Linked DNA regions of Danio rerio. The protein of the gene in region 4 binds, or shares a complex with, the protein of the main gene of each other region. Links are inferred from orthologs where the notes say so. Each region holds a gene or a part of one and is shown on either strand. Other genes may lie near its edges.

Region 1 (5,797 bases), on a different chromosome or scaffold from region 4:
ACAGTGAAACACATTTTCAACAAAGCATGACCTTTTTGTGGTGTGTGACATATAGGTTTATGAATATAAAATGTCCGCAAAATTTAAAACTTTGAAATACACAATAAATACAATTATTTCCTCTTAAAAAATAAAAAAAAAAATGCCTAAAATGAGCCATCAGTAGTTTGTATTAAAAATAGGCATAATGGCAGCAAATGGTCATAAACAGTTTGTGTTGTTGACATTCTGAGAATGCAAAAGCAAACACACTTTGCATGCATTTTCAAATGATGAAGACTAAAACTGATTTGGTATAACTTATGGTACAACTGCGTATACAAAAAGATGCCGCCACTAGAGCTGAAATTCAGATAGGATAATAGACATTTTGTAACTAAGATTTGTTGTAATCAAAATAGTTTAGGTATATCCGATACTTTAACATATGAATAATCTAAGATAATTAATTTTTTTCCATTTTAAGCTGTCTGTTGAGTCTCAAATAAAATATTGTAGTGAAGACTGTTTTGTTCTCATAATACTGCTTTTTATGTTTATTATTTTTTTATATAACTGTATAGCCTCCTTTCCACTGCACACGACAAATGACAAGCGACAGACTGGAAGTCATTCATTTCCAATGGAGAGTAGTCCGGAAGCTGCGTGGAGTTCAGATTATCTCGGTATCTCTGTGCGGAATAATCAGATCCGAATTGAGATGCGGATCCGTTGACTTATTTGAACTCCTGAGACTATGTGTATATTAAGTGTATATTAAAAAATAAAAATAAAATTCTGTTGATAAATGTAAGTAATTAAGTAATAAAAATATATATTTTTATGTTGTCTCCACATTCCCTCCAATATTTTTAGCGGTGTATGAGTTTCTAGTATTCATTCATTCATTCATTCAACCATGGTGAATGCACAGAGAATATAAGCTCTTGCTTTTCCACTCCCTTATTATTTCGGACACTGCGAGAACAGCTTCTCTCCCATAGTCCAAGTCAGAACTGAAAATACTGTGCGACTGCCACAAGGGGGTGTATTCCGACAGTTGTTTCCAAATGTCGTGTGCAGTGGAAAGGCGGCTTCTGACTGATTCGATGGTTTTGTTGGCTGTATTTTTGACACCCCTGCTTTAAAGACTTGTGCATATTGGGCGGTTTATTGTGAACATTTAACACTTTGTGACTGAAATAAAGGTCGATAATGTGAGCGTGCATCTCAAAGCAAAAAACATCAGGCATTATAAATTATTATTATTTTTTATAATTAGAAAAAAACCTGAGCCAATGACAGGGCTCGAAATTAACTTTTTTACTTGGTAGCACCGGTGCTCCCAACTTCAAATATTTAGGAGCACCAAAAAATTTTTAGGAGCACCAGAAAAAATTTAGGAGCACCCACCAAAAATGAATGAGCACAGCTGCAAATTGTTTTTTAAGGGATTTATTGTACTTTAAAACAACATTAATAGGACTGACAAAAACCAGAAACAACTATCTAACTAATGCTGCAAAGACATTGATATTTGTGTGCAATAATTCCAAAATGAATGTCTAATAATTAGGCCATAGAATATTAATGATGATAAAAAATGACAATAGTAACAATGAATTCCATTTCTCATTATGATACTGCCTTGAATGTGCATGAATTATCTGCTATAAAAAGTCTGTTACTTTATGAAAAATAATTGTATAGTTTGCATTAAACAAAAATGAAGCATTGCAGTAAGAAATATTTATTTTGTACTGCTGTTTTGTACTTAGTAAAGGCGAGCTTCTTTGGCGATGATATGTACAGTATTAGATTTGACTTTTAGCGGACATTTGCGCTGAACACGCAGTGAATGCAAAGCATGGAGATTCGGGCGCCTTCTCTAAGAAGCGCGTACTCGATTGATCTCAGCTGGTGGATCATTACTCACCACGTGACGTGTCATGATCGCTCTCATCTGCGCCTCAACTTTAGGTGGGGTTTGCAAACCTGTGTGCTTTAAGTTAAGTTTTCACTCTTCAGCCGTTTGCATTTCCTGTGGTCATAAAAGCTCCTTCCATGTCATCTGACAGCGGAATACCTTGAGTGATTGACAGCTAATATGAACCAATATAGCGGCAGGGAAGAGCGATTCAGCACGTTTTTACAAAAAATCAAAACAGGTCGCACTACAACCATTATCTGCAGTCGCACTAATGCTCCCATATATATTATGAGGTCGCATAGATTAATTTTCGGGCGCATATGCGACCAAAATGGTCGCAATTTCGAGCCCTGAATGATATTGGCACTTTTGTTCCATGTCCTGAGCTGCTGTAGTTACAGTAAAAACCTGACTTGGTAGCACTCAAGTAAAAAAAGGTGTAGAAGAGCACACAGGAATTATCAAGAAGGATTCAATAGTGAGTTTCATTCCACTTCATTTTCTTTCTTAGCTTGTAACTTTTTTAAACAGGTATTTGTGTTGTAGTGAAGGGGGGAAAACAGAAGTGGAAAACCCTGTGCAATAAAGACCAGTTAAAAGCATGAGGGTGCTATCTTCTTCTGTGTAATAAGCGAGCGTCATTGTGCAGCGACACTATGTTTACTGGAGTTTTTTTTTTTTTTTTGTGGTGTGTAACGTCAAGAGTAATTTTGCACATTCACTCATTTCATTGCCAGTGAAAAATCACTTTGGCATGAATGTTGAAAAAAGTCTCAAAAAATACTGCCGATAATTACAATCGATTACAATACTTTTACCCTGGAACCACCAAAAACTATAGAGCCAGATCAAATTTCAAAAATAATATATTTACAAAATATTATTCATACTTCCACAACAAAAGTCACATTTATAAAATCTAATTCGCAAGATCAAAACACAAATTTTTTGTTCTAAATACATAAATCCGATTCAAAATACAAAACAATTCGTATACACCCAAATCCTGTTCATACATTTGAAACGATTAATAAATACGCAAATCCAACTCATAAGTTCAAAGCACGATTTGCAAAATACACAAATCCAATTTGTAAGTTCAAAGCACGATTCAAAAATACACAAATCCATATCGTAAGTTCAAAACACGATTCGTAAATACACAAATCCAGTTCATAAGTTCAAAGGACGATTCAAAAATACACAAATCCATATCGTAAGTTCAAAACACGATTTGTAAACACACAAATCCAGTTCATAAGTTCAAAGCATGATTTGTAATTACACAAAAACCAGTTCATAAGTTCAAAGCATGATTCGTAAATTCACTAATCTAATTCGTAATTCGAATACGATTCAAAAATACACAAATGCAATTTGTGTATTCAAATTTAAAACACGATTTATTAACAGATAAATCCAATTCATCCTGTAAAAAATATTTATGATTTGCGAGTTATATTTATCTTTATGAATGCGAGTTATATTTATCTTTATGAGTAGTATTTGTGAATTGTGCTTTGAATTTACAAATTGGATTTTGTGAATGTGAATTGTGCTGTGCAAGTTTTAAATTAATTTTGTAAATGTATTATTTTTGAAACTGATCTGGCTCCATAAAAACACACACCTGTTTGATGGCCCAGTTGTGTGCCCTCTGAGGCTGGCATGGTGAAGTCTGCCTCCCAGATGGGAGAGTTTTCTCCATAGATTTCCTCTTCCAACATGGAAAGAAACCTAACACAAACACACACACACACACACTCAGGATATGAGAGAGTGATAGTTTTGAAGTTTGTATTGATAACATGGTAACGTGTCTTACTTTGGAAAATGTGTGAGGATGAGGGTGCGTTTCTCTGGCGGCAGTTTGTCTTTCTCCACTCTGAACTTCTCCAGTAACTGTCTGCGGGTGACAGTGAAGATGGACTTCAGCAAACTGCGGCCGAACACCTGACAGGTCTCATACCGTGGCAAGCTGTCATTGCTCTGAGGAACGTGACAGTAACACAGCCACCTGAAAACACACACACACAGAAATAATAGTAATAAAACAAATGAACAGTAATTAGATTAATGACTCTGTATATTCAGATTAAGATAGACTCAAATTTGATATTTTATTGTGTTTGAAAGTCTCTAATCCTCACAGATGGTAAATACATAAATATTATGAAAAAGCATTACAAATGGAAATTGTTTTCTAATTCCCTATATTTTATTTACAATTGAACTTATTCCTATGTTGTAAATTTTCAGCTGCCTTCAGTGTAACATGATCCACATAAAATTTCCTTTCAATATGCTTATGTTGTGCTTAACTAACACTGTTATTAAATGTTAAAGCTTTATGTAATTAATAAAGCTTAATATTTCTGTGGAAACAAACTTTTCTTTTGGGATTTTCTGATGAATAAACTTCAAAACAACATATTTTTATGCATTAAATAGATATTTCTGTATTTTTTTTATATTTCAAAAGAATATAATATTCTGGGTCGGAAGCTGCAATAAGTTTGGGGAGTAAATCATTATAAAACAATATAAACAATTTAACTGTTCTAAATTATTGATTATTTTTTAAAAATGTGTACATTAATTTTTGCAAAAGGAAAAGAAAACTCAGTTTGACATTTGTTGTGATAGATGTACAATGGGTAAGGAAATTATTCAGACGGCCTTAAATTTTTCACTCTTTGTTATATTGCAGCCATTTGCTAAAATCATTTAAGTAAATTTTCCCTCATTAATGTAAACACAGTACTCCATATTGACAAGAAAACACAGAATTACTGACATTTTTGTAGATTTATCAAAAAAGGAAAACATAATATCACATTGTCCTAAGTATTAAGACCGTTTGCTGTGACTTAAGGGGGTCTGAATACTTTCCGTACCCACTGTACATTTGCAAACCTAATTTCAAAATAGTAAACTGACCATCTTTTTTGGTCACACATTAGATGTACTTGATAATGTAATAACAGTAAATGACTTCATATGAAATAAATCCTAAACATTTTCACATAGTAAATACATACAACATAGAGGAAATGAGATCACACTCTGTTCTATACCTTACGTGTGTGTGTGTGTGTTTATATTTACACATCCTACAAACGTGCATTTAGAATAGAACACAGTAACACAAGCACCTAGTATAATCGACTTTGTATGCCGCTGCGTCCTCTTTCTGAGCCCTCTGCCGAAACTGTGACGGTGTCTCCAGCTTCCAGTAGTTCAGACAGAGGAGAAACATCTTACTGAGCTCATACATGGTCTGCCTCTCTTTAGGAGCCAAATGACTGAACTTATACTGAACAAAGTTCAACACCCCCTGAAACAAACAAAGACAGGTTTTAAGAGAACATATTAGATTAATGAGATTAATATGAATATTATTAATAAGATATTTAAACACCGAGGAAGACAATCTGAAAAAATAATTGACTTCCATAGTATTTTTTTTAGTTCCTACCTATAGAAGTCTTGAAAAATTCTGAACCTTTTTTAACTGCAGAATGAAATTAATCAAAGTTTAAAACCACTTTAGTGCAAGTAATGGTTAGGAAATGTTCGTTTTTAGGTGAACTATCTATATATTTTAAAGACTGGAATCAGCAGAAGGCTTTACTTGTGAACTGGCCAGCTTCCTTATATACAACACACTAGTGGAGCCACAATACAGGAATTTCTAAATTTGATATGATACCTTAACAATGACCGATATTTAATGGAGAAATATTGCTACAATATAAATTTAAATGACAACATTTATGCATGTCTTCGTTTCTGCATTTGCCAAGTTAAAATGGCAAACATGGCTCTTTATTAAATATTGTCCAGTTAGGACAGTTGTTCATATTTTCACTTGCCCAAACAAAATTT
Region 2 (5,954 bases), on a different chromosome or scaffold from region 4:
ATTCGTGCAAATGTGATCTTAGAAGCAGCATGAATGACAAAAAAAAGCTTTCAAGCAAGCAAAAGAAAGCATATGAATGCCGAATGAGAGGATGATCCACACGTAGAGGTGATGCGATATGCACTCGTTTCATGGTGCGATGCAACTGTGCCTGGAAACGTAACTGGTGCAATTGGTTCTCTTTGAAATAGATTAGACCAGTGGTTCTCAAACTTTTTTCATCAAGTACCACCTCAGAAAAAATTTGTCCCGCCAAGTACCACTATTATGACCAGTATTGAAATACAGTAGCATAGTAGGCCCAGCAAAGCAGCTACAGCTGTGCAAAGTTTAAAAATGTGGCAGATTAACTACAATTATTAATTATATTTATTACTATCAGCCACTTTAAACATTATCAATAGTTTGAACATTAACTGTACTGTGCTTATATGTAAAAAAAAAAAAAAAAAACGAACAAACTGTAAAATGTCAACATTTAAATTAAAATGTGCGTTTAAAAGTTCCTTAAAAATGGTAGGCTACTGTTCTTAAAAAGTAAAAAAAAATAATAAAATAAAAAGAACTCCTGTACTTGATCGTAAAGTATTAACCTGTAGTATCCTATTCATCAAAACCTGAAAATGTTGCTTGGACCACTAGTGGTACGTGTACCAGTTTGAGAACCACTGAATTAGACAAAAAACAATGATCAAATACCCACAGTCCTGCTGCTTTCAAGAGCTCCAGATGTCTTTTTGCAAGCAGCAGCAGTTGCTGCTTTCGCTTTAACCATTCATTGAACAAATTATTAATGAATCTAATGTTAACCTTGTGAGTATGATCATCCTTTCATTGCCACAGATAGTTTTAGATACATGCCAATAATTCTTTTTAAAATGTCAATTGTTTTTTTGTTTTTTTAAGAAAAGTTTTGTTGAATCAAAAAGTGCATGTATATAGCTATATTTTGCTTGTTTTGACATATTATCTAAAATTAATGGCTATGAAATAATTATTTATTTTTGGTGTGGTCAGAGATAAATTTGGTAAATCCTTAGTGTTGAGCCCAGAAAAGTCATGTGAAATAAAAACTAATTGCAATGCGACACTATGAAGCCATAACTTATTTGCTCATGCACATCATGAGTTCATACACAACAACAAAAAAGTGAAATGAACAAGGAGGCATGTGGACATAACAAAAAGTCTAAATCAAATAATTTTAGCATGTCAAAGTCAAATTTATGCATATAAAATATATTTTCCCACCAGCAAAAATGTGGCTAGCGAAAATGGCAAGTGGCTAGTAACGTAGGAAAATTACTAGCCACAGTAGCTGGTGATCAAAAAAGTCAACGTCAAGCCCTGAAAATACTCCTTGTATCGAGTGCAGTTGCTTTTATTTAGAACAGTTTAAGTAAGCCTTTAGGCTCGACAGTCAGGCACATTGCTGTTGGTGTCATCAATCTGGCAACCTGCCCTTGCGTATGTTTTGAACCAGGAGCGCACTACCTAATTCACCCCACTGGGTGTCAAACTTACATACTGCACCTTTAAGAGCTTATCCTGAAGATTTATTAAAGGTATACTAACTTGTAAAGGTTTGTAGAAATATATATATATATATATATATATATATATATATATATATATATATATATATATATATATATATATATATATATATATATATATATTTTATTTTATTTTTATTTTTATTTTTTTCCAGTCATTTCTGTAATAATGTCATACACAACCTGACTGACTTTGGTGTGAATAAATCACAATTAGTTTTTTTTTTTATTCATGAAAAACAGGAGACTGTAAAACACTGTGATACATGACCAAAAAAAAACTCCACAAAAAGGTTTAAACCTGCCCGCAAACCCACAGCAGAAGGGGTTTGCGCACCATCACACATATATATCCCTCTCTAAACCAATTAAGATTTGGATTATTTCACTAGTTCCAATGCAATTAATTACACAGGGAAGTGGTAATCATCTCTCTGGTTTACCTTCAAAAAGTACCACGCTAGGGATTCCTCTATAGCACTAGATATTACTTAATTGACGAATTCTAGAACAGCAAACACTATAAACAAATCAGACACATGATGATTGTAAATGTGCATAGCTTCTAATGCCAGCTCAGCAAAAGATCTATGACTGCATAAAGAGTCTATACAAGAGATATATGAAAGGAAAATGTGGATTGTGGGTAATATAATAAAACAATTTATGTTTTTAGCAGAGCTTTGAGGGATTCTATTATATAATAAAACCCCAGGATAGCACCAAGGTGCCCAAAACAAAACGTTCACGTGGTGGTTTTAACGCAAAGTGAACTGTACAGACAAATTACAATAATTTCTGTGCACCTTCCAAAACGCGAAATGTCAACAGAACTGTACTGCAAACAGTACATCGCATTTTTTTTGCCCCTTTGATTACCATGACATGTATAGGTTCAAACCCTCTCCACTTTCCAAAACTTGCAGGGAAATAAAGTTTGTTGGTGATTCCAATCTTGCTACTTTTTGGTTGTTTTGCGGATCAGTGCCATTCTCTGAAAGAACAGAAATCATATTTAGTGAAGTGATTGTTCAAAATCATCTTTAGGTGATCGGTTTTAGTGCATGGCTGACCTGTTTGTGAGCTTCTGTGGTGCAAGCCTTCTTATACGGTCGGATCTCATCTGAGCCAAAACCAGGAATCCACATGTTCCACTGTCGTTCTGGAAATTGAAAATTTAGTATACTCACTATACAAGAGGACAGTTCTTAAAAATAGACATTCAAACTATGTGGGATAATTCATTTGAATGGTATTTAAATGAGAAGAAAAACATCTAACTCAAACTATAAAACAGCCTTAAAGGGATAGTTTGCCTAAAACTGAAGCGATTTTAGCTTTCTTCAAAATATCTTATTTAGTGTAAATAGTAAATAAATTTCTATTTTTGGGTGAACTATTCCTTTAAGTTTAATTATTCAATCGGTATTAAGATAAGAGGAAAAACATGTCACTCATTAATCACTATGAAATACCCTTAAAGGGATAGTCTGCTCAAGACTGAAAATTCTGTCATCATTTATTTATTTATTCTCAAGTGGTCCCAAACATTTATGACTTTCTTGATTTTGCTGAACACAAAAAGAAATCTTTTGAAGAAAGTTGGATACCTGTAACCATTGACTTAAATTGTATTTATTTCTCTTACTATGGAAGTTAGCGATTTCAGCTTTCTTCAAAATATCTTCTTTAGTGTAAACAGTGAATAAATTTCCATTTTGGGTGAACTATCCCTTTAAGTTTAATTATTCAAACGGTATTAAAATAAGAAGAAAAACATGTCACTTATTAAACGACTATAAAATACCCTTAAAGACATAGTTTGCATAAAAAACTCTTCTCAAGTGTTCCCAAACATTTATTACTTTCTTTCTTTTGTTGAACAAAAAAGGAGATATTTTGAAGAAAGTCTGAAAACTCTAACCACTGACAATCATATTAGGCATTTCTCTTACTATGGAAGTCAATGGTTACACATGTAACCCACCAGTCCTACTGCGCCCAACCTGCTCTGAGCTGAGATCGAACTGGCGATTCTTTGTATGGGAGTTGGTTGCTCTAAAAAGGAGACCATGACCTCTAGCGTCTGTCCTTAGAGCACCTTTAGAGGTTCAGAGGAATATGGTTTACCTGCTTAGCACTTTGCTAGCTGGCCTTCGTTACACTCACCCCCTAAACCTCACTTCCATCCCGGACGAGCCCCCAAGTGTAACCCACCAGTCTTATAGCACCCAACTCGCTCTGAGCTGGGATCTAACCAGCGATTCTTTGTGTGGGAGTCGGTTGCTCTAACAAGGAGGCTAAAGACCATGACCTCTAGCGTCTGTTGATAAAGCACCTTTATAGGTCAGAAGAGTGAGGTTTACCAGCGTAGCACTTCACTAGCTGGCCTTCGTTACAGTCAGCCCCTTAAACCTCACTCCCATCCTGGACGAGCCCCCATCTGTAGCCCACCGGTCCTACTGCACCCAACCCATTGAACCAGCATAGCACTTCACTTTGCTGGCCTCTGTTTCACTGGTTTTCATCTTTTTGTTAAAATATCTCTTTTAGTGTAAATAAGGAATACATTTCCATTTTTGAGTGAATTACCCTTTTAAAAGTGTACTTATTCAAATGTATTCAAATGAAGCACTCAAGTCCATGGATAAAATGATCATTTAAGATCCTCACCAAGGTGTAGCTGGACGTCTTTTACTTCAAGAGTGCTTGACTTCCTGTGTCGGGCCAGTTGGCATGCAGCAGTCACCACGCTCTCAATGAAGTCATCAGCTATCTGCAACAGCATCTGAAACAAATGGTCAACAGACAACACTGTAGTAACAGTAATGTTAGCATATCCTTCTACTGTTCTTTTTCATTTAGGCTGTAATCGCTAATAAAAGTAATGAAATAATAACAATAATTATAAAATGTAAAAATGTCATTTATTCCTGTGATGGCATTACTCAACTAATCTTCATTTTTTTCATCCTTCAGAAATCATTCTGAATTTGTTGAGTCTGTGCTCAAGTATGTTAGTTTTATCATCTTTAATTTTTTATGCATCATTTGATAAACAAAGCAGCATTTAAAAAAACACTTATTTATTTTTTGATGTTGTTGTTGTTGTTGTAATAGTGTTATTGTTATTTGAATTTGACAAAATCAATGCATTCTTCATAAAAAATATAATGAATTATAGTACAAATATAGTAAAAAAACACACACACACACACACACACACACACACACACACACACACACACACACACACACACACACACACACACACACACACACACACACACACACACTATAATGCATTATAGTACAAATATAGTATAGTTTAAATTCTTGAACTGACAAAAACAGATATTTCAGGTCTAATATACAGTTGCAATCAGAATGATTAAACCCCCTGAATCCGGAATTATTATCAGAGAGCAGTTTTTTTCAACAGATTTCTAAACATATTAGTTGTAATAAGTCATTTCTAATAACTGATTTATTTTATCTTTGCCATGATGTCAGTAAATAATATTTTACTAGATATTTTTCAAGATACTTCTATAGAGCTTAGTGACATTTAAAGGCCTAACTAGATTATTTAAGTTAACTAGGCAGGTTAGAGTAATTAGGCAGGTTGTTCTATAATGATGGGTTGTTCTGTATACTATAAATATATAGCTTAAAGGGGCTAATAATTTTGACCTTAAAATGGTGTTTAAAAATTAAAACTACTTTTACTCTTGCCGAAATAAAACAAATAAGACTTTCTCCAAAAGAAAATAATATTATCAGACATACTGTGTAAATGTCCTTGCTCTGTTAAACATAATTTGAGAAATATTTAAAAAAGAAAAACAAAATTCAACAGGGGGGATAATAATTCTGATTGCAACTGTACATCAACTGATTATTTCCCTAAGTGTTTTATATATCATTGCAATTAAAATCCCATTTGTTTCTCACAAACTCAACTATTTATTATTCAAGTGTGTTTAAAATGGTAATTTGGGCAACAAACTGACTAGTCAACAATGAATGTGTGAGAACACTTTTGAACATCATCAATAATAAGACACACGTACTTCTTCCACATCCTCATCAAGTTGCTCATTAGGGTCAATTTCTCGAACAAGGTCCTGCAGCTTCTTCTTACTGAGCACCTGTAGGGAGGACAATAAAAATACATAAATGTCAATATATTTTTAAATTGGCTTAAAAAAGTCTATTTTCACATATAGGTCTATCGCAAATATTGATTATTTGTCTGATCTTTGTTATTTGATCTACTTTCAGGTGTTGAAAACAGGTTTTTTTTTTTTAAATGAGGGAAATTAAGTGCATAAACAAATTAACATGCTTAATATACATTTTACCTGTAAATGACAGCTTGTTTTATTTCTGTGAAGA
Region 3 (6,299 bases), on a different chromosome or scaffold from region 4:
GAATTATAATTATTATGCACAATCATTTAATTACACTAATGACGCATTTAGGGGATTGAAATATATTTATGTGTAAAGTCCAGAAGGGATACAGCTGCGGTTCTTACATCAATACAGCACCGTACAACAATCATCAATATTTCTACATCACTGTGAGGGGGGGATGTTAATAAAATACAACTAAATGGATAATTTAATAATTAAATGAATAATACTCGGTATAATTACTGTTTTACATTATTTTGGAGGGTTGGGGTAATGGTAGATGTTAATAAAATACAATTGAATGGGTAATTTAATAAATAATAGGTGTAATGCTCGGTATAATTATTGTTTTACATTACTGTGAGGGTTGGTGTAGGGGTGGACATTAATAAAGACAATTAATAAACAATTTAATAAATAATATCACTAATTCTGAGCCATATATCCCTTCAAGCTTTATGTGGAGTATCCTGATATTAGCACAAGAAGAATCTGTGACTGTTAATCGGGGATTTGTGGAATAATTACAGCCCTTTTCAGGAGTTTCTTTAAACTGAATCACTATAATGATGTGCACTTTTTAATATTATTGCATATCTTTTTCTACTCAAGATAATAATACTGTAATTATGTTTATTTTAGTGTTTTATTTACTTTTGTTTCATCTATATTTTATTGTTAATTTTAAACTGATTCGTCTGTTTGAATGTGATGTCCATTTACTGATTTATTTATTATTCATTCATTCTTTTATGTTCCTTTGCCTTAGTCACTTTATTCATCAGGGGTCGCCACAGCGGAATGAACCACCAATGATTCCAGCATATGTTTTACACAACGGATGCCTTTACAGCTGCAACCCATCACTGGAAATTATCCATACACACTCATTCACACACATTTTTTAATAAAAATAACCCTGGGTATAATTACTGTTTACACAATATTGTATACATTATATCAGTTCCCCTATAGCGCATGTGTTTGGACTGTGGGGGAAACCGGAGCACCCGGAGGAAACCCACACCAACACGGGGAGAACATGCAAACTCCACACAGAAACACCAACTGACCCAGCCGAGACTCAAACCAGAGACCTTTTTGCTGTGAGGCCACAGTTCGTATGAATTATGCGTATTATTATTGTTATTAATAGTGGCTTGAAAATTAGGTTTCAAGTAGTCAAAATCATTTTAATCAATTTTAAAATAAAAGAAACAATTTGACTTATGTAACCTGACCATGCTAAAATAATCAGTGCAAATATCTATTATTTGCATTGTATATATTAAATTATATTTATTATTAAAATGAAACAAATAAGTAATTAATATTTGATTAAAATAAATAAATAAATGGGCAATATATTCAAACAAACAAATCAGTGAAAAATAAAAAAATACATTTACTCAAGTTAATAAAATAAAAAAGTAAACAAATACTCCTTATGGACATTTTAGGTACATATCGTTTAGTTGAAATGGGATAATTTGAAATAACATCATTAATTAGCCTATTATTATTATTATTATTTAAATATAAGCATAAAATTTTAACTATATGCAAGGGGTACATTTAAATAATTAAATGTGATTTAATCATTTGTGAATATCTATCAAATAAATATATAATTATGAATAATTAAAGGGTTTCTGCAATTAAACTAAAAGCTCGAGTGAATTTTGATGGATTAAATCAGTTATTAGTCCCTGTTTGTTTGTTTGTTTGTTTGTTTGTTTGTTTGTTTGTTTGTTTGTTTGTTTGTTTGTTTGTTTGTTTGTAACTGTAAGCACAGTGTTTATGTTTCAACTATTTATAATGTTTAAAGTGGCTGACAATAATAAATATTCGTATTAATAGGAATTAATCTGCCTTGTTTTTGAACTGTGCAGAGCTGCTTCATTGGGCCTACTACACTTCTGCATTTCAGTACTGCTCCTTATGGTGGTTCTTGAAGAGACATTTTTTCTGAGGTGGTCCTTGATGAAAGAAATCTGAGAACCGCTGCTTTAATGTATAGTATTGTGCGCCACCAAGTGTTTGACGTGGCTGTGCACGCTTGTGCGGACTCTTATTTTGTAGTTTAACCGGATATGCTCGTGTTTACTTTGTCGGTCTGAGGCGCTCGTCAGAGAACACTCGTTGGATTTTTGTGTTTTTAAACATTATTTTCAACGCGGTTGTCGGTCTTAGGTATGTTTTGATTTTTTTTATGAATTCACGGTTTTATTTTGTCTAACAAGTGTTAAATCCGGCCCCAAATACACATAGCATCGTAAGTTACGATGATCGTTAAGTTACCGTTTTCACCTAAAGTAAACTATCATTACATTGAAGATGACCGAGTGTAACGTTAATACAGCTAATGCACATTAGATAGAGCCCTGTTTAATCGCGTTGTTTACGATCAATAACAATGATATATGGGGACTTAATGGATATTTAGAGGTAAAGTAGGTTTTATATCCGCACACTGGTGCATTTAGCAGTCTCTATATTGTTTAGCATGTTACTCTGAATATTGGATCTGAATTAGCATGCAAGTATGACTTGTAAACAACATTAACACTGTCTAATTGACTGTGAACAATGCTGTACTTTGATAGTCATTTGCTGCTAATATCATTTCCCTATTTACAATACTTTTCTGACATTATATTGAGGAGAATGTCTGAATATCAGAATATACAACCAACTTCACCTCTATATGTTTTATAGAAGACACAGACTAAATTATAAACTGTAATGACAGTATTGACATTGTAAGCAACAGTTCACCCTAAAATTACAATTCTGTCATCATTTACTCTTGCTTTACTTGTTTTAAACCTTTATGAGTTTCTTTCTTCTGTTGAACACAAAAGAAGATGTTTTGAAGAATGCTAGAAGCCGGTAACCGCTGACTTCTGTAGGGTTTGTTTTTCCTATTATAAGTCAATGGTTGCCTGTTTACACATTTTTTCCCCTTAAATGTTCCTTAAATCTTTTTCTTAATTTTGTAAACCAACAACAAATTGCTCTCTCTTTTCAAAGATTGTATATTATATAATTAAATATTAAAATCAAATAAATAATCATTTGATTAGAATAATTAATTAAATACATGTGCATTAAAATTATATATGTATATATATATATATATATATATATATATATATATATATATATATAAACATTTTTTAAAAATTGTAATGAATGGTTGCTCTCTTTTTTTGTAATATGACAATTTGTTCTACATAATTGCTTTTTGTAATCTTTGTAATTTTTTTTTACATTCAATAGTATTCATCCAGAGTAATTCTTACAAAAAAAAAAAAATATATATATATATATATATATATATATATATATTGCAATCATGAAACACAAGCAAGGCTTCTTGAGATATTTTAGATATTTGGACTAGAAACAGACACTCTGAGTTAGAACAGTGTTATTGCAGTGCTCAGTTGTAATTGGATCAGGGACTCCCGCTCATGTGTTGCAGATAAACACACTACAGCAGTGTCCATTATTTCCACATTCCCTTTCCCTGATCCATCAGCTGAAATCATGGCAGACCCGGCCCGTGTGAAACCTGAAGCGGGCACATCGGTGGACAGACCCAAACCGGGCGAGGGGTCCAGTGAGGGTCCGGAGGGCAGCAGTAAGAGCTCTGACCCTGCTGCGGGACAGACTGCTGTAAAAGAGGAGGGCAAGACGCTCAGTCAGGTCTCTGCCTCTTCATTCTGCATCCTCAATGAATTCAGTTTCATTCTCATGCAAATAAATCAACCATGCATCACTGTGTTCCTCAGAGGCCTGCTGAAGATGCTGGTGATGAAGAGGAGGAGGGATCTTCATCTCTGCATCCTCCTCCTGCCAAAAAGCTGAAAGTGGAGCCGCACGACAAGAAGAAGGAGAAACGCCACAAAGTGGATGAAGACGAAATCCAGAAGATGCAGTGAGCTGTGTGTGTGTGTGTGTGTGTGTGTGTGTGTTGTGTGTGTGTGTGTGTAGCTGTAAACTGATAATAACACTAATAGACGTGTTTGTGTTTCAGAGTTTTAGTATCATCGTTCTCTGAAGAGCAGCTGAACCGCTATGAGATGTACAGGCGCTCGGCGTTCCCTAAGGCAGCTATTAAAAGAGTGAGTCTTTAAATTAAAAACAGGTCTTAAAAAGAATTCAGAGTTGATCAATCTGTTTAGAGAAAGTATTAAAGTCTTTTACAGCTGGTAAATATTGTGTCTGTTTGGATTATTCAGTGTGTGGCTGTCTGCCTAAGTTTAATTTGTGAATATTGGGCAACATGGTGTTGCAGTGGGTAGCATAATCGCCTCACAGTAAGAAGGTCACTGGTTTGAGTCTTAGCTGGGTCAGTTGGTGTTTCTGTGTGGAGTTTGCATGTTCTCCCCGTGTTGGCGTGGGTTTCCTCCAGGTGCTCCAGTCCAAACACATGCGCTATAGGGGAACTGATTGTAGTGTATGCGTGTGTGTGTGTGTGAATGAGTGTGTATGGATGTTTCCCAGTGATGGGTTGCTGAATACATATGCTGAAAAAGTTGGCGGTTCATTCCGCTGTGGCGAGCCCTGATTAATAAAGGGACAAAGCTGAAAAGAAAATGGCAGCATTGTTATTCCTGCAAGAAGGTCTCTGGTTTGAGTCTCGGCTGGTTCAGTTGGGGCTTCTGTGTGGAGTTTGCATGTTCTCCCGGCATTCGTGTGGGTTTTCTTCAGGTGCTCCGGTTTCCCCCACAGTCCAAACACACGCGCTATAGGGGAATTGGGTGGGCTAAATTGTATGTAATGTGAATGAGTGTGTAAGAGTGTTTCCCAGATATGGGTTGCAGCTGGAAGGGCATCCGCTGCGTAAAACATATGCTGGATAAGTTGTCGGTTCATTCCACTGTGGCGACCCCGGATTAATAAAGAGACTAAGCTGAAAAGAAACTGAATGTTATTCCTGCTGGTCTACAGGCGCCCCCTGCTGGAAGTCCATCAATTCTTTCATATTGAGTGTGAGTGATGCATTAGTTTAGGCGCAGGCGTGTCATGTAGCATCATTTCACTGAAACAGATCATCATTTTTAATGATTCAGGCTGTTTTTATATCATTAACTGCCCACACTAATGTTGATTAAATCTTTGTGTGGATGATGATGAAAGAACAGTTGTAGCCTGTGATGGAGCAAATAAACAGATCACTCCCACCGTTCTGAATTATCTTGCATTGAAAAGCGAGTTAGCACCAGCTAAGACTCTTTAGTTATGCGTAACTGCACAGTCTGTGTTTGGTAACTATACTGTACGCTAAAATGTGCTCAATATTACTGGTTAGAACGAATCAATTCTTCAATCGAGAAGCGTTTTCTAGACAAGAATCAAACATTTTCAGAAATAATGAGTCAAAATGAAGTGAGTTTTTCATTAAAACAAGCAGAGTAATCTTGTGTCAAAAGGCAAAACAAGATTATTTCGCTCACTCCTTTGATTTGCAGACTGTTTTGCTTGTTTTAACTTCATTTTGACTCGTTTGTTTGTACAAGACGTGAGTTGAATGCACTATATACACCATTATACCTCAAAATAGCACAGAATAGTGCATGAGCGTGTGATTATCGATGCATCTTCTTTGTCTTGGAGTTAAACAGATTTCTTTCTGTCCTCCAGCTGATTCAGTCCATCACCGGATCATCGGTCTCTCAAAACGTGGTCATCGCCATGTCCGGAATCGCCAAAGTGTTTGCTGGAGAGATTGTTGAAGAAGGTTAGTGACACGCTGCTCTGCAGACACTCTTATTTGTCTTGTTTCTAGTCCAAAAGCTAAAGCTCAAACTCTTCACCTCAATCTGTGTTCAGTAAATGTGCTGTAAGATATAATGTGGTCAGTTCAAACTAACCATCAAGACTTTCAGACAGTGTGAGACTGATAACGGCAGCCAGAGGAGAGAATACTGTCAGATTACCTGTCCTGCATTACACACACCTCACACACACACGCGGGAGTTCAGTTACTGATGCGCAGATGACATAACGCATAGAGAAACACATATAAATGTGCACACCTTTACAAATATTCTTAATATTTAAAACGTTCACGTATTTAAGATGCTGATGAGCGTTAAACACATCATTACAGTGCTGTGAAGAGCTCCATGACGCTCTGCTGATCGTCTCCGTGATGCATTTCTCTTGCTTGTCTTCAGCTCTGGATGTGTGTGAGAAGTGGGGGGACACTCCACCTCTGCAGCCCAAACACATGAGGGAAGCCGTGCGGAGACTGAAGAGCCGAGAGCAGATTCCCAGCTCCAAACACAAACACATCCTCTTCC
Region 4 (6,318 bases):
TAATTTTATCTACACTTGGAAGAAACCCCCCTTCCTCCCCTATTCTCCTCCTTTACCACTGATCAGGCAGCACGGAGGCCCAGTGGTTAGCACTGTGAGCCCCACAGCAAGAACACTGCCGGCCCTGGTCCCACCAGGCCGGTCGGTGTTTCTATGAGGAGTTTGTATATTCTCCCCGTGTTTCTCCCCGATGTCTCCGGTTTCCTTCACCATCCAAAGAAATATAATGTGTTTTTCAAAAGAGTGAACTTGCATTGCAATGCTATTATATTGTCATTTGGCATTTTATAATGAGTGGCAAAAAATAGATATCGTATCGGCCTGATGCAGAGTGTATGATTTATATTAACAAGGTAGAAAAAAATTAAGAGACCTTTTCAAAATAATTTTCAAGTCTCTGGATTTACCATTAATAGATGCAGGTTTTTATTAAAATGTTTATTTGGGTTTTAAATTGATTTTATGAAATACTCATAACCTCAAAATTAAAGATATCATTTAAAACATTTTTTGCAGAAAATTACAATAGGTGAAAGAAAAATATTCCATATTTTCAGACCTTAAATGTGTAACATACATATGATACGTTGAATGCGATGTTTGCAATAAAAACCCAAAACCTATAAAACATTTTTTTTTAATTATAGGTATAAAAATAATTATAAAAACAATCAAAACATATTCGGTAACATTATATTGCAACTGTTTATATTTTCCAAAACAACTAACCACAGAGTTATGGGTAGGCATGGGACGATAACCGGTTTCAAAGTTTACCGCGGTTTAAAAAAGTCAAGGGTTTAATACTGGAAAATGTTTCTGCTATACTGTTCCTAAGGTATGTATAAGTTTTTTTACGTGTTTTTACACATTTTTTTATAATTTCTTAGAGCAATAGTATCTTTAGCAGAAAATGACCCTCCAAAAATGCCTTTTCAAGTTGTAAAGAAATCTGTGTTTTTTAAAAAAAAAAAACTATTAAACCAGCAGAAGTCAAATAAAATATATTGTGCTTAATGGGGAAAAAAGTTGTTGTTTTTCACAAAGACATTTAAAAAAAACATGAAACTGTGAAATTTTTATCCAGGTTTTTTTTTTTTTATATCGTCATACTTATACCGGCCCATGCCTAGTTATGGGATAAGAAAAATATCAATCTGTAAACATATTCTATATTTTAAATGGGAAAATAAACATGCATTATGGATGTGACCAAAAAGGTTTACAGTACACAGCACACTTTGTAAAAATTCTGTGAATTAAACTGCACAACCCAAAAGAAATAATGCTAATCAAAAGAATAAGAGTTGGCCCACTACAGAACAAAAATGATTAATTTTATTTGACATTTTTGCATTTATGAGTAAAAGGCTTTGTTATGTATGTGACACTTTTCAATTATGGATGTGACAAATGTGAAATTGCCAATTGTGTGACTTTAGTAAAGCAAATAAAATAGTTTGAAACACTGACAGAGACATGTTTGAGTATTACTATTAAATACTTGCTTACACTGAAAAAAAGTGTAAAAACGGTTTCTCTATTTAAGTGAAAACTTTATTTCTTTCATGGCAAGGTTGACATTTGCATGGAATTGCTTATATATGTGAAATACCAGAGCTGTATATACTTTTTTTGTGGTTGTGAAGTAATTACCTACACATAAGCGTGAGTGCAGACAAGGCACTTGTAAGAAAGTAAAAGAACAAGGCTGAAGACTGAACAGTGCTGACTAAAATTACCCAAATGGATGGTCAGACTACACTTCTTGTTAGATTTACATCTATTATTGTATATGAATGCTGAAGACTGGAATCACATTTAAGAAAGAACTTTGGTGAACTCTGACCCTCAAATTTGTATAATCTGAGATGTGACCTCAGATGACTTTGTACATGAATTGATACAAATGTACATGAATGAAGAGTAGCTTATTTTATGAATTATTGATATATATTAGAGCAAATTAAAAAATATGCCACAGAGTAAATATTAATAATTTAAATTAAAATATAGTTAGTTTTTGACTAAAAAGCATGGAGAGGACTTTAACATCAATTTGCTTTCAATCGACTTATAAAGACACAGTTCACCCAAATATTACTAATAATCATGTTGTTGGAAGTCTGCAGGACTTACTTCTCTCTTAATAGAAAGAAAAGTCACAAAGAATGTATGGAGACTGAAGCTGTCAATATGTCTGACAGCTCCTATTGAAGAAAGCGAGTTAGGCATGTTCGGAGTGTGTTTTAGATAAACTAACTTTTAATTACACTCTAATGAAGATATACTTTTGTTTTATGCACTTATTTTTTTCAGTTTGCAAGTATTTCAGGAGAGAGCAAACTTCACACGAAACCAAAACACTCCTCGTAAGTTTCTCTATACACATATCATGTCATTCCAGACAACATTCAGGGAAAGTGCTAATGTGAGCGTGGGGTACCTGGAGGTAGCTGGATATTCTGGATGTTCTGGCCCGGGCTGCTCTGAGGGAGTCGGGGCGCTAACACCTGTGGCGCGCTGGCCCTGATGGTCGGGCTAGATGATGCTGATGCTGCTGCAACAGTTGCCGGAGCTGCGGTTCTCGCAACCCCCTGCAAAACAGCCCCCTTGGCCACTGCAGGGCCGACAGTCATGCTGCCTGCGGGCTGGATGATAGTTTTAGGAGACTCGGACTTGCTCGCGGTGACAGGTGCAGAAGTCTGGTTCAACAAAAGAGGGGTCGTTGTAGTAGTAGAACTAGTAGTAGTAGTTGAAGTAGTAGTTATTCCCGGGGTCGCTACATTGGCTACAGAAATGGTGGTATTATTATTACTTCCGTTAATAGTTAAACCTGCTCCAGCAGTTTGCATAGATGGCCTGACAACTGTCACTAAGGGTCCTGCACTGGATGCTGCGGCTGGAGGAGTCCCGAAAGAAGACTGTATCACTGTGTTTGGGCTTGGGGCGACCGTGACGTTTCCGAGTCCTTTCGCCACCCCGGGCCCGTTATTAACAACCGGGACAGAAGTTGAAGCGTCGTCTGACGATGATGATGATGGACCACTGGACACTGGAGTGCCGCTTTCAGTGTGCGGATCCATTGCATTGCCTCCGTTCAAAGTTTGCACTGTGGACGTCCCGATCAAAGTAGTTACCATAGCATTAAGAAAGACCGGATCGCCTTAGCTGTCTTCCATCTGTGCCTCTGGCACATCAGTTCAGGAAGTTTGGGTTTTCATCGGCTTTTCCCTCCAGTTGCTTTTCGAAGGAAACAAGCGTGAGTGAATGGGAGTCTCGTGTCACAATGTCAATAAGGATTTGACAAGCGCCCGTGTCACCTCAAGTCCATTAGTAACAATGCTCTTGGGAGAAATAATCATCTAACACACTTGAAGAGCGACTGCTTTCATTATGTTCATATGTACAAGAGCTCGCAAAATGTCAACATTAGCTAGTTGAATTGCCTCTTTTCCCGGAGTCAGCGGGGTGATTTTCCGGCTGCCTGGGCGCTTACCTCAAACTTATTATGGCAAGATGTGGAAACGTCTAATCTAATACAACCTGAAGTGTCGGTAAAAAGTTTCTTTCCCACTCTTTTAATACAGAAATCCTTATATAGCAGGTCAAAGCCTGCCGCCATCTTCGATGTGAACAGTGAGGAGCTTTGGATAAAATGACATTGCGCATGCGCGCAAAAGCGGAAACGTCATTACGCTGAAGTTTTGTGGAGCCGCCATTGGTGGTCTCCGTGCGTGGAGGCGGGACATGAGAAACGTCAGTTGATTCTGGCGGAGCGCGGTCAGAGTCGGTCTGTCATCGAGAAAAGGGCCTTGTGAAGTTGAAAAACAACCGTTGAATTATACGGGCGCTGCTCTCGGTTGTGTCTAGAGGCACTTATAGCTGTTATGTGCGGGTTATAAAGCATGTAGAGGCTGTTGTGTGAACTTCACAGCGGGCTGTCTTCCCCCAAGATGGCCCCGTGTTTTGAAGCGTCTGTGTTGAAAGCGTGAAAAGGCGCCACACCTCTGCCAGCGTGACTGGCCATAGAGGGCACGCGTGCTACTGCAGCCATAGTTCACAGGGTTTCTGGTCACACGCTCAATCTTCACTTTAACTTATGCTACACTTTTTCTGTCAATGTGCACAGCGTTGCATCGGGATAAAAAGTCTGTATTTTGCAAGCACGTTATAAATAAAATATGGCTGATTAAATAGTCAACGAAGTGACAGAAAGAACCAATAGAAAGCTCTTTCTTGAACCAATAGTACCTAATTTTTTTCTAACATAATGTGAGCTGACACATTTGCTCTCAAAAGTCCTCCCTTATTTTTATAGGTGTTTTTTTTTTATAATTTGATAACATTTTGTTAAAATAGCAATTAATGAAACTTATATAAAAAACTTTATTTATCTGTGGTTGCCACAGCGGAATAAACCTACTTATCCAGCATGTTTCACGCAGCGGATGCCCCTCCAGCTGTAAACCCATCACTGGGAAACATTCATACTCTCTCTCATTCACACTTATACCCTACTGACAATTTAGCTAACCCAATTCACCTATACCACATGTCTTTGGACTTGTGAGGGAAAACCAGAGCACCTGGAGGATACCAACGTTAACATGGGGAAAGCATGCAAATCCCACACAGAAATCCCAACTGACCCAGCTGAGGCTCGAACCAGTGACCTTCTTGCTGTGAGACGACATCGTTAAACAAGCATCACTAAATATTAGTCGTGTTTTTCTGGTTGTTTTCACTATTTCTAATCATTTCAATTAAGGATGAGAACTTTAACACTTAACATCTATACCAGTGTACTTTACAACTACTTTAATTTACTAATTTAATTAGTTTAATTTTTTAATAATTAAAAAACTATTTAGATACACAAGCATTTTATTGGTATTAATTTTGCACTAATCAATATCACCAGTGAATCAGTAAACAAGTATGAGTTTTATAAAAAAAAAGGCAGATCAGATCAATGTTCATAAAGGTCGCTGATGATGTGTGGTCAACGTTTCTTTCATTTCTGATTTGAATTAAATAATGTTTATGTCATCGCGTAATCTGCTAGATTGAATGGAAAAAATAAACATAATGCTCTGGAGCAGTTGGTTCTTCTTGTATTTACAGTATACAGTGCATCCGGAAAGTATTCCTATCGCTTCACTTTTTCCATTTTATTTTATGTCACAGCCATATTTCAAAATAGATTAAATTAATTTGTTTCCTGAAAAATGTACACACAATACCCCATAATGACAATGTAAAAAAAGATTTTTTGAAATTGTTGCAAATTTATTAAAAATAAAATACCTGAAAAATCACATGTACACAAGTATTCACAGCCTTTGCTCAGTACTTTGTTAATGCACCTTTAGGAGTGATTCCAGCGTCAAGTAATTTTAAATGGGATGCTACAAGCTTGGCACACCTGTCTTTGGGAATTTTTGCCCATTCCTCTTTGCAGTACCTCTCAAGCTCTATCAGGTTGGATGGGAAACAACGATGTACAGTCACTTTCAGATCTCTCCAGATATTCAATAGGATTTAGAGGTCTGGGCTCTGGCTGGGCCACTCAAGGACACTGAAGCTGTCTTTTATTAAGGAATTTTGGAAGAGAAGATAAAAGCATGATTATACCTAAACCATAATTAATTAATATAATTTTCTTATGGCAAAACATTTAATGATAAAAAAAACCTCAAATTGAATGTGAACAAAACGTTTTGCTTTTAAACGATCAATATCAAGGATTTTGTGTTTATTTTAAGTTAATCATGTTTCAACTTATTCCTAACTTGTACATGATCCAACTTAATGTTTTAGGTCAGTTTAATTTAATGCTAATTTGATTTCACCTAAAAATTCAGTATGTATTAAATCGCAGCCCTGACTTTCTCTGCTCATTCGCTCACAGTTTCAATGACAAGCTGTTTGTTCTAAAAGAGATTTAAATGATTGTATTTGCATCACAGGTGCGGCTCTCCTGATGTGTGTGACGCTCATTGAGTGCCAGATTTAAATATCAAATATGCATCAATTTTTTATTGTTACTTTCTCTACGGTGTAAAACATAATTTCACAGTTTATAATGAAACAGTATTCTAGTGACCTGTTCAAGTAAATGCTTCAGAGGTACAGTCGTTTTTCCTACATTACTTGCTGAAAGGTATTCATTCATTAAATTTCTTTTCAGCTTAGTCACTTATTAATCATGGCTCGCCACAGCGGAATGAACCTCCAGAAAATGTTTTTTGCAGCGGATGCCTATCCAGCCGCAACCCAACACTGGGTAACACCCTTACACTCTCATTCACACAC
Region 5 (6,435 bases), on a different chromosome or scaffold from region 4:
CACTGTGTCAAAACATCAGTTTCACGTCAGCCATCCCTACCTGGAATGATAGCTCATGCGACAAATTTCATAATTCGCAGCATTGGAAAGTTCAAGCTTGGAGAACGCTGACATGCGAAATCACATCATGTGATTGCTTGATACCAATCAAAGATCAAAACATGACCTCTCTGGCTTGCTTTTTCAATCTCTAATTATTTTGTTTAATTCCACTACTCGCTTTGTTTAATTCCACTTCGCAGTGCAGTATGACAGAATTTTGCATGCTCAAACGTTAATGTGACCGCAGCCTTACTGTGCAGACCTGTAATATGCAAGACAATATTTATATCTGCTGATTTATTAATTTTGTTATACTTTTACTGTTATTTATTTGTTTGGTGCCAAAACAATAAAATAAATTTGTCTGAAAAATGTTATGCCTTATATTTTTTAATAACAGCTAAGAATACTGATTAATTTTAGTAACACTACAATAACTATATATGACATACTATTAATGTGTATGCAGTATAATGCTGTGATTTGTAACACTACAATACAGTAATTAACTGTACACAGTTTCCAGTTAGTTACCACTGCTGCTCTATTACAGTAATTAACTGGCAACACTGTTGCCAGCTACTCAATGTATCGGTTCAGTTACAGTAAAAAACTGGCAACACTGTTGTCAGCCACTCACTGTAATGGTTCAGTTGCAGTAAATAACTGGCAACACTGTTGCCAGCCACTCACTGTAATGGTTCAATTACAGTAAATAACTGGCAACACTGTTGCCAGCCACTCACTGTAATGGTTCAGTTACAGTAATTAACTGGCAACACTGTTGCCAGTTACTTACTGTAACCGAACTTTTACAGTGAGTGGCTGGCAACAGTGTAGCCAGTATTCTACTGTAAAAAAAACCCGATAAGGTCTAACAGTGTACTAATTTTTGTTCATATAGCTATACGTTACCATTTATATATTATATATACTTTTATATATATATTATATATATATATATATATATATATATATATATATATATATATATATATATATATATATATATATATATATATATAAGTTTGCATTGTATGCATTCAAATTGTTTATCACTTATTGTTTCATAATATTTATTGTTACCATTTTTTACAAAGAAAAAAATTAAATATGCTAAATATGGGAAAGTCAGGATCGCAATTTGTAGCAACAAATAACAAAAAATGTTAAATAATAATGACTTGGTAATTTGTTATACCTTAAGTTATAACTCTTAAATCATAAATCAAGTTAAAAAATATATTTTTATATGTTTTGCATAGGTCCAGATAATATGTAAAATGGCATGAAATGCTTTTTTTTTCTTTTCATTTTCCATTCCTCACTTTTCTGAGGATTAAGAATTTTTAGATATTTGGACTAAAACCAAATCAGAAACTCTTAAGTAAGAAAAGGATTTTTTGCAGAGTATTTATACACATTTTTTTTTTTTTTAGTGAGCATTAAGAATTTTATGCAAGGATTCAGCTTCATTTAAAGACAACTGGCAATCTCTAGAGATATTGTTGTCAATAAATAAATGTAAAAAAAATCTAATGTTGTCTAGGTTTTTGATTGTCAGGTAGCTAAATGGTCCTTGAAATTTTAGAAAGTAGTAAATTGTTTGTCTAAACGTTCTGCAGCTGTCTGGTAGTCAATACCACTGCATTCTTATCACAGCACATCATTACGCCATATTACACTGTATTGTACGGTTATAATTGTGTTATTGTCAAAATGCAACTTTATATATAAACAATACAACAAATTTCATCTCTCTATATAAAAGCGTATAACTAGGCTACAATTAACCATTACACTTTCCAACTATTTGTGTTTTGAATTTTTCTTATTAGATTAATCTAAATTAATTTGCCAGTGGGCTTTTGCATAGCTGAAATTGTTTGGTGAGTGTATCAGTTCTGCATATTCTCTAGTGAGTTTATAACTCACTTTCTGATAAATTAACTTAGCGTTCTTATTCAGCGTAATCTAATGAAAAAAAAAAAAAAATATATATATATATATATATATATATATATATATATATATATATATATATATATATATATATATATATATGTGTGTGTGTGTGTGTGTGTGTGTGTGTGTGTGTGTGTGTGTGTGTGTGTGTATTTATGAACAGGACATTTAATAATCTGGGAGAGTAGACTTCAAATGTATTGTTTGGCCATGTATCTTCCATCCCCCCTACTGGACGCATTAGGAACAACAGCGGCGTAAAACTGTGGCGTGTAAAATTGCCTGAGCCGTAAAACTGCCTAGATCCAAGTCTGCAGATGTCCCATATAGGGGTCTGCAGCTTCCCCTTACTCGCCGCTTCACCCAACCCAACAGCAGGGGCACTGTCTGGTCTGTCTGTGCGCGCTAGTCTGAGCGTGCAGTTGGGTCTCCGGGCCTGCAGCTTCCCCTTACTCCACTCGGGCGAGGCGGTGTGGTGAGAAATCGAGTCCCCCTGCAATCGATTCCGAGGCAGTCTATGTCATGAAAGATGCATAAAAATGAACCTATATACACTGCTTCTTCTGCATTAAATATTTGCTGAATAATTTGTAAAACGTTCATTTATAACTATTCTTTTATAAAGTGTGTTTAAAACATGACGCTAATATGAGCTTGTAAAAATATACGTGCGATAACGTCACATTTGTTTTAGGACCTTTCAGCAGATTCAAAATGGCGAATTTTCGGAAAAATGGTTCGGAACTAAATGGGCTGTGCAAAGTATTAACAAACCAAACAAACAAATAAAAACACAAAATTCGTATTATATAATACAGAGGATTTACCCGTTTTGTTTTATTGTTTTCAAAGCGGCAGCTTTAAATAGACATAGCTGCAACCTCCTTTTGAAGGTAAGAAAGACATGCTGTTCACTTTTGCTTTTGTGCACGTTTATTACAGAGAAGCATGATCCAGTCGTACATTAATAGCCTTTCGACACACACACACACACACACACACACACACACACACACACACACACATATATATATATATATATATATATATATATATATATATATATATATATATATATAAACAACGCAGGTTTATGTAGCGGTAACGCACAGACAACGTAGTTTATTTACTTCTTTACTTCTGAGTATTTGATCAGTAACGTTAATTACATGGTCTCAAATAAGCAATGCAAACTCATATTGATTCTAGTAGAAATACTAAACTATTTTATAATTTAGAGTTTGAGAATTTATAACAGGGCAACGCTGTGGCGCAGTAGCAAGAAGGTCGATGGTTCGAGCCTTGGCTGGTTAAGTTGGCATTTCTGTGTGTAGTTTGCATGTTCTCCCCGTGTTCGCATGGATTTCCTCCGGGTGCTCCGGTTTCCCCCACAAATCAGGTGAAATGGGTAAAGTAAAATTTTCTGTAGTGTATGTGTTTGAATGATAGTGTGGGTGTTTCCCAGTGATGGGTTGTTGCCTGAAAGGGCATCAGCTGCGTAAAACATGTGCTGAATAAATTCGTGGTTTAATCCGCTGTGGCGACCCCTTAATAATAAAGGGACTAAGCCGAAAAGAAAGTAAATAAATGACTGATCTTATAATACATAGTAATAATTGGACATTTTATAGAGTTATTATAGTACTTTTACGATTCCTAGTAGGATGCAAAGCTGTTCTCTGTTAAGAAGTGTAGCGTTACGCAAGTTTGGGAAGTTTTTCTTTTTTTTTTTTTTTTTTACAAAATACATGCTTTAAATAGTTATCAATATTATACATTTTTATTTAGCAACTTACTCGAAATACTTAAGAATATGCATATTTTAAGCTAATTAATACAAATAAATAGGATTCCATGCAGTTTTATGCTGCATTCCAAGCTTTAAAACGAATCCAAATACACAGACACAACTATTCTAAAAATAGCCAAAACAACCATCATAATTCTTCAAGTTATAAAAAATAATTGGGTAATTTCTACAGAAACATCTATTTTTAGCATGGCAATTCAGACAAGATGTTTAAACATTTATTTCTTTTTTAACATTTAAACTTAGACCACATTATTCAATTTCTTTTTACAGAAGGATATCCAGGACAATTTTTAATATGTGGATGCATAAATTTTGACCCAATCCAAATGTAATAGCAAGTTGCACATTTGCAATTGCATTTCCACTTTTGTGAACGCGCAGTGACTGCCACATTTCAAATAAAAAAAGAAAAGTCCATTTGAAAAATGCATTTCCCATGTCTTACGAGCTATGGGCCTGACATATCTGAACAGCTATATTAATTGCTTCACTTTCTTTTTTATTAAGCTAGAAACAAGAAAAAAAATGACAACATAAAATATTTGCTTTATCACAAACTGTAGTAGCATTATTGGTAATAAATATTGAGGCAACAGAGGCAACGTATATAAGCTAGCTTGAAAAATTGTTTATTAAATATAGATTGTATAATTTGAAAACATGCAGTAAAATCATAATGGTTTTACTTTGCAAAATTATGCTACATACAGTACATGTAAATCACACTACAAGATGGCTAGTAGATGGAGCTTACAGATCAGTAATAATCCCATCATTATGAAATTTGCTGAATCACAAGTATATTGAATTAAGCCCATTTATACATAACGTTTAGATGTTTGATAACTGCAAATAATGTCAGCATATATTTTGCTAATATTTTCAGATCTCTTAAAACAAACTACAAAAAATCGTTGAAACATTATTAGGCTACTATGAAACTTAAACCCGATTATTAATTAATTAATTCATTCATTCATTCATTCATTCATTCATTTATTCATAGTCTTTTCGGCTTAATCCGGGGTTGCCACAGCAGAATGAACTGCCAACTTATCCAGCACAATTTTACGCAGCGGATGCCTTTTAGGCTGTAACCCATCTCTGGGTAAAGCCTGGTTTAAACTTCTGCGTTAAGTGACCGGCGTGACCCACGGCGCATGCAACGGGTGTAGCTGTGCATTTATACTTCTACGCGCTGTCTCTTTTGATCTGAATTAACACTTCCGAAACGCTAGTTGGCAGTAAGGTGTTTATGTTCCTCTGTGTTGAAATTCTTCTCTGCTGTTTTGCTTTTCCTGAACACTTCCTGGATGTACAAGTGGCTTAAACTTGCTCATTTTGAGGCATCTTTTGTGCAGTCTGGGATTTGAGAAAGAGATGCGCGGGCTTTAAAGTGTCACGAAACACCAAAACACGTATTTTGAGCTGTTGACAGTCGTATATGTGTCCCACACTGCTAAAAACACTATTAGGACACCTATATTTCACCAAAAAGTGTAAATTGGTTGTTTTTGCGTTATTTTAAGCAAATTCGTACTTCCGGTTTGAAACGAATTTTTGAAGCTGCGTCACGGTCATGACATAATAGCGTTGTATTCCAGCGTGCAGACTGGGCGTCTGTGCCAGAGTGTGTCTTGTTACGTCTTACAGTGTGATGCATTAATGCATGAGTAAAGCTTGGTTCAAACCAATCAGCGCGCTCTATTGTGGAACTTTATTAATATTCATTACTGTCGTAGTGTTCAGACGGCAGAGACGCCACGTTGTGTTGGCAAAACAAGCGTGAAGTGTTGCTTTTATATCTTGCTGCCGTTAAGTTTTGTTTTCATTTTCTCTCTGTGAGAGCTCATCTGGATCACGCGTGGATTAACAGTGTACGCGACGCTCGACAACAATAACTTGCGTGTCTAAGGAGGATTATTGTTTACCTGAGAGCTGTTCTCATCTGCAAACGCTGAGATCCGGATTCGCTTGTAGTATTCTCTTCATAAAGACGCGGCTCTAGTTGCTGGGGATTGTCCTGTCTCTACAGATTTGGTAAGTGAGCGACCAGTGCTCTTTGTTTATTCAGTTTGTTCGTATCGAACTAAGTTAACTATTGCACCGAGTGCAAACATGTTAGCACCACAACCAAACTTTACCCTCGTGTAGGGTTTTTACGGCATTTTGTGACCAGAATAACACACGCGGCTTTCTGACGCTACCTGCCGTGTGCATCTAAGTTTCTGGAAAATGCTGAGTTTTTTTTCTCTCATTCGCCGTGCGGTATCAAACATTGCATGAAAAATACACGCTTAGAGCAGTTCCTCGAATCAAATATCTCGTTTGTCGCAAGAGGGCATGAATGAATTCCCTGAATGAAAGAGCCAAATTGCAGTTAAAGTCCACCATTTAATAATTCGACTACAGATGTCCATGTAGGGTAAATACCATCACTTTCTCCTGTGTGTGAGTATTTTGACTAAAACTCGCGCGTGCCCAAATAGACACTCCCACACCCTGCCACTTTAGTTCCTCAGACACTCCCCCCTAAACAGAGCTGGACACGCCCACTTTGCTGACTTTTTCCAAAGTAGAGGTGTGAAAACACCCTGCTGAAACGAGGGGGTTTT

The links.
Region 1: taf4a (region 4) and kat2a share a complex: the UniProt entries of both Homo sapiens proteins name them as parts of the TFTC-HAT complex. The link is inferred for Danio rerio from reciprocal best matches to the Homo sapiens genes TAF4 and KAT2A.
Region 2: the proteins of taf4a (region 4) and taf12 are in contact, whole or in part, in a crystal structure (PDB 1H3O), measured with the Homo sapiens proteins. The link is inferred for Danio rerio from reciprocal best matches to the Homo sapiens genes TAF4 and TAF12. Residues at the interface, in NP_003176.2 of Homo sapiens: Phe872, Leu873, Leu874, Pro877, Leu878, Arg880, Arg881, Ile882, Ile885, Gly886, His889, Gly890, Ile891, Thr892, Glu893, Leu894, His895, Asp897, Val898, Tyr901, Val902, His904, Ala905, Thr906, Gln907, Gln908, Arg909, Leu910, Gln911, Leu913; in NP_001128690.1 of Homo sapiens: Val57, Leu58, Thr59, Lys62, Leu63, Leu66, Val67, Glu69, Val70, Glu74, Met83, Leu84, Ile87, Ala88, Asp89, Phe91, Ile92, Glu93, Val96, Thr97, Cys100, Ala103, Arg104, Ser108, Ser109, Thr110, Leu111, Glu112, Val113, Lys114.
Region 3: taf4a (region 4) and taf11 share a complex: the UniProt entries of both Homo sapiens proteins name them as parts of the TFIID basal transcription factor complex. The link is inferred for Danio rerio from reciprocal best matches to the Homo sapiens genes TAF4 and TAF11.
Region 5: taf4a (region 4) and taf6 share a complex: the UniProt entries of both Homo sapiens proteins name them as parts of the TFIID basal transcription factor complex. The link is inferred for Danio rerio from reciprocal best matches to the Homo sapiens genes TAF4 and TAF6.

Annotation. Positions count from the first base shown.
Region 1 is NC_133178.1:16,337,281-16,343,077, reverse strand, and holds part of kat2a (histone acetyltransferase KAT2A), read right to left. Parts: intron 5,247-5,797; coding exon 5,065-5,246; intron 3,927-5,064; coding exon 3,735-3,926; intron 3,647-3,734; coding exon 3,540-3,646; intron 1-3,539. UniProt on the Homo sapiens protein: Protein lysine acyltransferase that can act as a acetyltransferase, glutaryltransferase, succinyltransferase or malonyltransferase, depending on the context.
Region 2 is NC_133191.1:38,664,942-38,670,895, forward strand, and holds the end of taf12 (transcription initiation factor TFIID subunit 12), read right to left. Parts: intron 5,708-5,954; coding exon 5,630-5,707; intron 4,345-5,629; coding exon 4,230-4,344; intron 2,719-4,229; coding exon 2,630-2,718; intron 2,551-2,629; coding exon 2,515-2,550; 3' UTR 1,745-2,514; downstream 1-1,744. UniProt on the Homo sapiens protein: The TFIID basal transcription factor complex plays a major role in the initiation of RNA polymerase II (Pol II)-dependent transcription.
Region 3 is NC_133198.1:379,151-385,449, forward strand, and holds the start of taf11 (transcription initiation factor TFIID subunit 11), read left to right. Parts: upstream 1-2,084; 5' UTR 2,085-2,433; intron 2,434-3,472; 5' UTR 3,473-3,537; coding exon 3,538-3,696; intron 3,697-3,782; coding exon 3,783-3,928; intron 3,929-4,027; coding exon 4,028-4,115; intron 4,116-5,637; coding exon 5,638-5,734; intron 5,735-6,173; coding exon 6,174-6,299. UniProt on the Homo sapiens protein: The TFIID basal transcription factor complex plays a major role in the initiation of RNA polymerase II (Pol II)-dependent transcription.
Region 4 is NC_133186.1:23,088,923-23,095,240, forward strand, and holds the start of taf4a (transcription initiation factor TFIID subunit 4), read right to left. Parts: upstream 3,664-6,318; 5' UTR 3,144-3,663; coding exon 2,447-3,143; intron 1-2,446. UniProt on the Homo sapiens protein: The TFIID basal transcription factor complex plays a major role in the initiation of RNA polymerase II (Pol II)-dependent transcription.
Region 5 is NC_133180.1:58,921,470-58,927,904, forward strand, and holds the start of taf6 (transcription initiation factor TFIID subunit 6), read left to right. Parts: upstream 1-2,726; 5' UTR 2,727-2,900; intron 2,901-6,435. UniProt on the Homo sapiens protein: The TFIID basal transcription factor complex plays a major role in the initiation of RNA polymerase II (Pol II)-dependent transcription.